Linked DNA regions of Danio rerio. Each later gene encodes a partner of the first gene's protein in a complex. Links are inferred from orthologs where the notes say so. Each region holds a gene or a part of one and is shown in the gene's direction. Other genes may lie near its edges.

The links.
Region 2: taf1a (region 1) and polr2k share a complex: the UniProt entries of both Homo sapiens proteins name them as parts of the pol I pre-initiation complex. The link is inferred for Danio rerio from reciprocal best matches to the Homo sapiens genes TAF1A and POLR2K.

The regions. Positions count from the first base shown.
Region 1 is NC_133195.1:55,132,288-55,136,118, forward strand, and holds part of taf1a (TATA box-binding protein-associated factor RNA polymerase I subunit A), read left to right. Parts: intron 1-1,912; exon of another isoform or gene 1,913-2,025; intron 2,026-2,343; exon of another isoform or gene 2,344-2,406; intron 2,407-2,637; coding exon 2,638-2,751; intron 2,752-2,883; coding exon 2,884-3,082; intron 3,083-3,831. UniProt on the Homo sapiens protein: Component of the transcription factor SL1/TIF-IB complex, which is involved in the assembly of the PIC (pre-initiation complex) during RNA polymerase I-dependent transcription.
Region 2 is NC_133194.1:13,080,900-13,085,188, forward strand, and holds the start of polr2k (DNA-directed RNA polymerases I, II, and III subunit RPABC4), read left to right. Parts: upstream 1-1,469; 5' UTR 1,470-1,549; intron 1,550-1,813; 5' UTR 1,814-1,815; coding exon 1,816-1,876; intron 1,877-2,073; coding exon 2,074-2,166; intron 2,167-4,289. UniProt on the Homo sapiens protein: DNA-dependent RNA polymerase catalyzes the transcription of DNA into RNA using the four ribonucleoside triphosphates as substrates.

The DNA.
Region 1 (3,831 bases):
ATTTATTCGGCTTCAGGAGTCAGTCTGATGACTGTAAACACAACAAACAATGCAATAAATAGTTTTCAAGAAAAATTTGCTGTCATTGAACCTGAGAAAAACTTTGAAAATAACTATAATGTAGTCTCCATGCTGTAATATAAACAATAAAACCATTTTTAACTGTGGGGACATATCTTTAGAAGTACAATTCAGCTGTATTATTTGTGTCCCCTTCAAAAAATCTTTAAAAAATTAATCATAAGAAATGTTATATTTATTGTCCCCCCTACTGTTAAATCAAATTAATGGTCATGGGCGCACCGCATCTAATCCTCTTTGCCATTGAAAAGCATGAGGAAGTATCTGCAGCTATGGAAGCCTTTCGCTGTTTTATAAAACAGCCGTTTTTTTGTCGTTATCTTGAGTGTACAGAAATAAAAACAGACTCTTTCATTTCCCATGATATATTATGACTCACAAAGTTATCGATTTGTGAATTTCAGGGCACCAGCAGACTCCTCTGGCCAAAGTGAGGTTATAACATTAACAGTGTAGCTAGCTGAACTACATTTCTCAGTAGCGTGACGGTAGCTTTGCTAAAAAAATCAAATACCTTTTCACAGTCGTGAAGCTATGTTATTAGTGCAGTAGTGTCCACACAAGCTACATTTAACGATCACGGATCAATACTGTTTAAAATGTGTAACACCTGGTTTTATTGGATTTTTTTGTTTTTGCTGTTATGTACTATAATGTTTTCCTGTTTGGTACAGCATATTATTTACAGTAAATAATTGAAATGAACAGTTCTGCCTCATATGTTTCATTGGCAGTTTTATTGATCACTAAGATGTGATTGATTTGGATTTAAGTGGCTTCGATTTAAAAAATTAGCAAAAATTAGATGTATTTTTTTTTATTGCAAATGACACATGAATCACCTGCACAACTAACTAACATTGTGATTTTGTAACAACAGTAAACATGTTTTTGTGATAAGGTCTGGTTTTGTGGTGGCTCTACTTTAAATTTAAATAAATTAAATTAATTTTATTTAAGTGATGAAAGCTTTTGAGATTTTAACAGTAAACAGAGCTACTGTAAGCTCACACCTGCTCTGTATAAATGCTTGAAAATTATTTAGTTGAAAATGTTTATTAAAAACTTAAAAGTAATCAAAAAGTAATCAAATGTATTTAGTTACTTTACTTTTATAAAGTAATCGAAAATTACAGTAACTTATTACATTTTAAATAGGGTAATTTGTAATCTGTAATCTATTACATTTTCAAAGTAACCTTTCCAACACTGCTTACTAACGTCAGACATCCCGAGTTGGGAAAAGTCATTTTCGGGGGATACAGAGTTGATTTGCGGGAGGTGGCGGAAGAGATGAGTACCTGAAGAGCAATGGGATGAGTTGCGCGCGAAGTACCTAAAGAGCGGTGGGGGTGACTTACGCGCGAAGTACCTGAAGAGCTGGGAGGGATGCGGTGGAGAGGGGTGTGCAAAGTGTTTAATGACCGGGCGGGAGACGCGCGATTTCCGGGAGATTATCATTCATTTGCGGGCATCTACTTGGGCATCTGGGAGTCTCTGCATTTTTCTGGATAACGTTAACATTAGTCCCGCAACTTTCCGGAGACTTCTGTAACGTTAAATGTCTGAGAAAGTGCAAACGCGGTCATTTAAAGACATTAATGTTAACATTCCAACGGTTAATGGTTGTCAACACTTAATATAATTCAAGCGTACGTTATCACGCGAGTCTATGGACTAACGGTATATGGACGACCACGAATGAACCCGTTTAAAAGGGCCGCAGTGTTTAAAATAACCAAATTAACGTACACAAATAACAAACAATCATATGTTTTAGTCAGGAAGCCTTTTACAAGTAATATACAAGTACATATGTTCATTTACTCACCAGATATGTTTCAGAAACTCTCCAGAGCTTATGGAAACCGTCCTGTGTTGCCGTTAGCATCCGGACAGAGTAGGCTAACGTTAGGCTGCTCCGGGGATTCCCTCGCTAGTTTGCTTCGAATTAAAGGAGAAGTGTCGATTTTATTTTACAGATGGGTAACAACGCACAAAATGGCATTAAGCATGACAGAAATGTGTTGAAGATGTACATTTGATGTTTTTTTGCACTATGTATGCGTGAGCATATAAAAACATTCTTGAAAAGAAGTCAATAGTAATGCAGTTAAGCTAGATACACAAACGACCATGAATGAACCGCAGAAGTTTAAAATTGTCACTCCATTCTAAAGTTATTAACTTAACAATATGTTTACAACTGTATTTCCTTAAAGAAAGTCAGTAAAATACCAACATTTAGGTAGTTTGACTGACCAGTTGCTGTTCTCAACATCAGATGGAAAATGGCGTCTGGAAAATTCTTCAGTGACTGGGGCCGCATGAATTCCCGGATGTTGGAAATAACACCACCAAGTGTTGAAAAGATAACTCCTTGATTTCGCACTGAATAAAATCAATTCTAACTCTTATTATATTCATTTATCAAAATCTAACTCTTTAACGTCAACACTTCACTCTGAAATGCTTCAACACCAAGAATTTAACTCTGATGAATTTGCTGTGCATACGCAGCGTGTTTCAATGGTGTGTATTGATTGTGTCCATCAGATCTTGTGGAGATTGGGCACAGAAATCCTGCATCATCTCCCAAACACTAGCAATGAAGATTTCAACGCTTTATATGAACAGCTGAAGAACGTCGGGGTCCTCAACTTCTCAAAGGTGCGTGCTATTAAACCTCTCAAACTTTCCATATTTACTCTGCATTCAGTGTCTAGCATGTATTTCCAATAGCAGAGCGCCCCAGTCTGCATCATTATCAGCATGTGATTCGTTTACTTGTGATTGTTGTAGATTAGTCTGGAGCACTGCTATCATCTCCTGCTGAACGGACAGATGGATGAAGCCAAACGGCAGCTTTCCATCGCAGAGAGCTGGAGATATGGAAGGGTATCCCGATCTCAATCACTGAGCAAAACGCTGATCACAGCCTACTGCGGCTTACTGGATTACTTGATCTGGAACGAGAAGAAGTCCTCTGTGTCTGAAAACGGTAACATTTAATACACTGACATTAGAAAATCTAGCATAAAGTGTCCTGTTGTGCATTCAAACTTAAAGGGTCACGAAACACCAAAACACATGTTTTGAGCTGTTGACAGTCGTATATGTGTCCCACACTGCTAAAAACACTATTAGGACACCTATATTTCACTAAAAAGTGTAAATTGGTTGTTTTTGCGTTATTCCAAGCAAATTTGTACTTCCGGTTTGAAACGAATTTTTGAAGCTGCGTCACGGTCATGACATAATAGCGTGTATTCCAGCGTGCAGACTGGACGTCTGTGCCAGAGTGAGTCTTATTACGTCTTACAGTGTGATGCATTAATGCATGAGTAAGGCTTGGTTCAAACCAATCAGCGCGCTCTATTGTGCAACTTCATTAATATTCATTACTGTCACAATGTAGACAGCAAAGACGCCACGTTGTATTGGCAAAACAAGCGTGAAGTGTTGCTTTTATAGTTTGCTGCCGTTAAGTTTCGTTTTCATTTTCTCTCTGTGAGAGCTCAGCTGGAGTCACGTGTGGATTAACAGTGTACGCGACGCGCGACAACAATAACTTACGTGTCCAAGGAGGATTATTGTTTACCTGAGAGCTGTTCTCATCTGCAAACGCTGAGATCCGGATTCGCTTGTAGTCTCCTCTTAATAAAGACGCGGCTCTAGTTGCTGGTGATTGTCCTGTCTCTACAGATTTGGTAAGTGAGCGACCAGTGCTCTTTGTTTATTCAGTTCGTA
Region 2 (4,289 bases), on another chromosome or scaffold:
ATTAATAAAGGGAATGAACACTTTCATAACAAATCTCTCTTGACATTAGCTGCCTTTGAAAAGTGTGTGCTTGCAGCCATGCAGATGCATAAAGACTCTGTGTTTTTGTAATAAAAGCGAGTCAATTAGCAAAGGGGAACTCAACTTAGTTTAATTTTATTTTGAACAACAATATAAAACGTCCAAATTTATAAGTTGGGAGACCTAAAAATGTGAGAATGTACAAAAGCGCTGCTAATAGGAAGTCTTATTTGTTGTTTATTATCTATTGTATAACTGTAATGTTACTGACGGAACCATTTTGATTACAATACAATCATTCTAGACATTCAACATAAAAACAAAACATGAATATCTTTCTGAGATGTCTTTTGGGGATAGTTTCTGAATATTGCTGCCCTCAATAGTTACAATGCATACACCTGTTGATAACTATGGAATATTAAATAATTTAAATATGTTATTACATTTCATAAACCGTTTTAATTACTTGTGCTTACACTTGATTTAGTTATTAATGGCCAACATGTGTCCTGTGGATTTGAATTACCTTCAAATGCAAAGTATATCTATCTTTTGCTCTAAAAATGAACATTAGTTTTAAAAAATCATAATAATATTTAAGGAATTAGCAGTATTTCAGTATTATTGAAACAGTAACAAAACATTTCAGTATATCAAAAAGATAAACAGCTATCAATAATTAGTAACTCTATTAATATGAATAAATGACAATTGGCTGGATCAGCTTGTTCTGACATATACCTTCGTTATAAACACATTATAAATGGGAATGTTGATATGTATTAAACACATTGCCGAGAAACAGAAACTGAAAGGGTGAGGCGGGATTACGACTGCCAGTAAAAAAAAAACACATTACAAACATAAATACTAACAGTGTACAGACTATCTGGTTATACCTATAAAACATATAATAGTATATAATACTGACAGTAAAGTTTTGCAAACTTACCCGAGAGCTGAACGTTTAACGTTACTGGCAGTTTTTGCAGCTGCGACTCACTAACGTTACTTCCTGCTCTGAGACCGTCAACAACACCGACAAATCAAGTGACAATGTACGAAACACATTTCACTCATACAAAAAATCAAATAATAATTATTCATTAATAATAACACATTTCTGTTAGTAAATAAATGTGTTTAGACTGTTTCACAATTTCAGGACAGGTTTAATAACAGCGTTACACATGAATTAATATAAACCATTAGCGTTAAACAAAAAAGTACACAAATAATACGTCTTCATGGTTACGTACGTCTGTCACTAAATGAATGTTTAAAAACGTCGCCGCGAAGTTTTTCTCCGCCATCTGAAATTGCTGGCAGTAATAAAATAAAAGTCCCAGATGAACCTGTAAGTCTCTGCGTAAAATGGTAATGTCCTCCCTCCTGGCGGCGTATGACGAGATTGGTTCAATTCTTGCCAACCAATAGCATTGTTCGTTACTGTGATGTGATGTCGCTTGTGCGCATGCGTGAACGAAAAACGTTTCGAAGCAAACAGAGAGCTCACGCGTGAAAGGTAGCTAATGCTTTGAATGTTTACATTTCGTACTCGTTTGTACACTGATAAATGACAGGATGAATGATATGTGCGGGGTTTTATTGCAATTTTAATATGATGAATTACGTGTCTTGTTGGGTTTATAATGGAAGAACGTGTTTGTGCATAGTGCAGCATCTCTTAAATGTGCTCTTACGATAGGTTTAGGTCAAATAATGTGTAATATTCTAATGAATTTATTCAATTTAGACTATATAATCATGTTTGTGTGTTTGCTTTAAGCCATGGATTCTCAGAAAGACATTCAGCCCCCCAAACAACAGCCAATGATCTACATTTGTGGAGGTGATTGCTCTTTTGATTGTATTTATGTTTATAATCTATATGTATATTGATCTATTAGAAGGTTTATGTATTGATTATATTTTTGTAATCAGTCATTTCTTTCTTAATGCTAAACAATCAAGATGTTCACAATCTAGTCTGTTTTTGAGCTTGAAATTTTGTGTGTGTGTGTGTGTGTGTGTGTGTGTTTGTTTCAGAGTGTCACACAGAAAACGAGATCAAGGCCAGAGACCCCATCAGATGCAGAGAGTGTGGTTACAGGATCATGTACAAAAAGAGGACCAAAAGATGTATCCTTTATCAACTAAACCAATGCTTTGTGGTAGGCCTGGTTGATACGACAAAAAAAGTTGATTAAATTAATTTCACGCTATAATCCTCTCATTTGCTAATAATGAGATATGTCATGATATAGTAACTAGGGATACAACAATACAGTTAGCCTTAGTAAGAGGTTAAGGAGAAAAAACTTATTGCAATACTTCTTTATTTTACTTGATAGCCAAGAAAAGTACACTAGTTTGTAGTTTAATGTATAATAAAAGTAAATTAACTGAAATCTCACAGCTGCTGGTAGCTTATGTACAAACTGGGGAACACGTATATTCCTACATTTTGAAAATACACATACATGTGAAAAATAATTTCAAATAAACATATTTGATGTAATTTTAAGCTCTGGATGTTTATTAGTTTTACATTTTCTAAATGCATATTGTGTCACTGTTTTGGAGCACACTAGCTAATAGGATTGGGCGATGTTGACCAATTTGCCATCATATGATGTATAATGTGAAACAAAGTAATGGACGATAACATCGTTATTGTAGGCGTCAGTGAATTAATTATTAATTCATAACGGATTAATTATTTGTAGCCCATGTTTCAACTACCTGACCCACAAGGTCTTTGTTTTACCCATAACCAAATCAAAAATAAATAAAGTTGCACACAAATTACCACCTTTCAATCACTTTTTCCATTGGACTCTGGCATGAATAGGCCAATAGAGTGATCTGTGTCTTTACAATGACATTGACAAACTTGGTTGGGAAAAAAAGGTGCACAACCAACCAACTGTATCTGAGGTTTTCACTAAAATTACTAAGTATAAGCATGAAAGCGAAACACCGAAGCAGTGTACTGATGCTGTGACACATTACCTGATAGATTCAAAAGACCAAAATGTCTGAAGCTCTGATACGAATGTATACTGCAGGCATAACAGTGTGCATTTTCATCGATATCGAGTGGAAGGAAGGCTTTTCAGAAATGCTAGATGAAACGCCTGTGTGGACGTAGGTCGCTTTTGTTCTAAAATGCCATTTTAAAACTAAGATGTATTAAGGCTGATTTATACTTCTGGGTCAAACACCGGCGTATGCTACGGCGCTGACGCATAGCCCTTCGCCGTGGCCATCGCCGTCACTGACGTGCACCTCTCAAAAAATGTAACTACACATCGCAACAACGCGTAGCGCAAGCTCTGTGATTGGTCGGCTTGGTAGCGCTGACGAGTCTGGGCGGGACCGAGAGCTGCGCGAATGGCGCGACGCCGCGCGAGCGATTGTTTACAAGTGTGGAGTCCCGTGATGGAGCTCCGGATGGAAAGTTTTGTTTTGTGTTTACCTTATAGTTAAAGTTGTTGCACGTCCGCCGGTTCCTGCCTTAAAATGAGCGAGTTTGAGCCACTTGTACATCCCAGAAGTGTTCAGGAAATGCAAAAAAGTAGCGAAGAAACTCAACACAGAGGAACATTTACACCTCACTGCCAACTAGCGTTTCGGAAGTGTTAATGCAAACCGACAGAGACAGCGCGCAGAAGTATAAATGCACAGCCACGCGCGTTGCCTGCGCCGTGGGTTACGCCGGTCACCTGACGCAGAAGTATGAATCAGGCTTTAGTGTAAACGGGGCCTAAGTGTGTATTTTTCACAAACGGATTGCTGCTACGGTGGGGTGGAGGTTAGCGATGCCAGCTCAGCATCGATATGTCTATCGACGATGGCTTCGTCCATCGACCCAACCCTACTAGCTAATAGATATCCTTAAAACTAACATCTAAAAAAAAGTTTAGTTTGAGTTTCACAGGACCTTTAAAAAAAGGCAAACTAATGAAACTGGCCTAGAGAAAATTAAAGGGCGCCAACCTCAGTATATTGACCACATCTCAAGCACTATTTGTTTTTGTTCTTTACATTTTAAAGTATATACTCAGAAATGCGCTCATTCATGTGTGAACATATTTCTTACTTCATTTAGAACTTCAAAGCAAATGTTTTTAGTAAAGATGTAGAAATATGAATAAATTCTTAATAAAATAAAAACACACTTTAAATACCAAATGATTACAACGATTAATCCAACATAATGTAAAAAATATTGCTAAATAAAATGCCAAATGTAAACATTG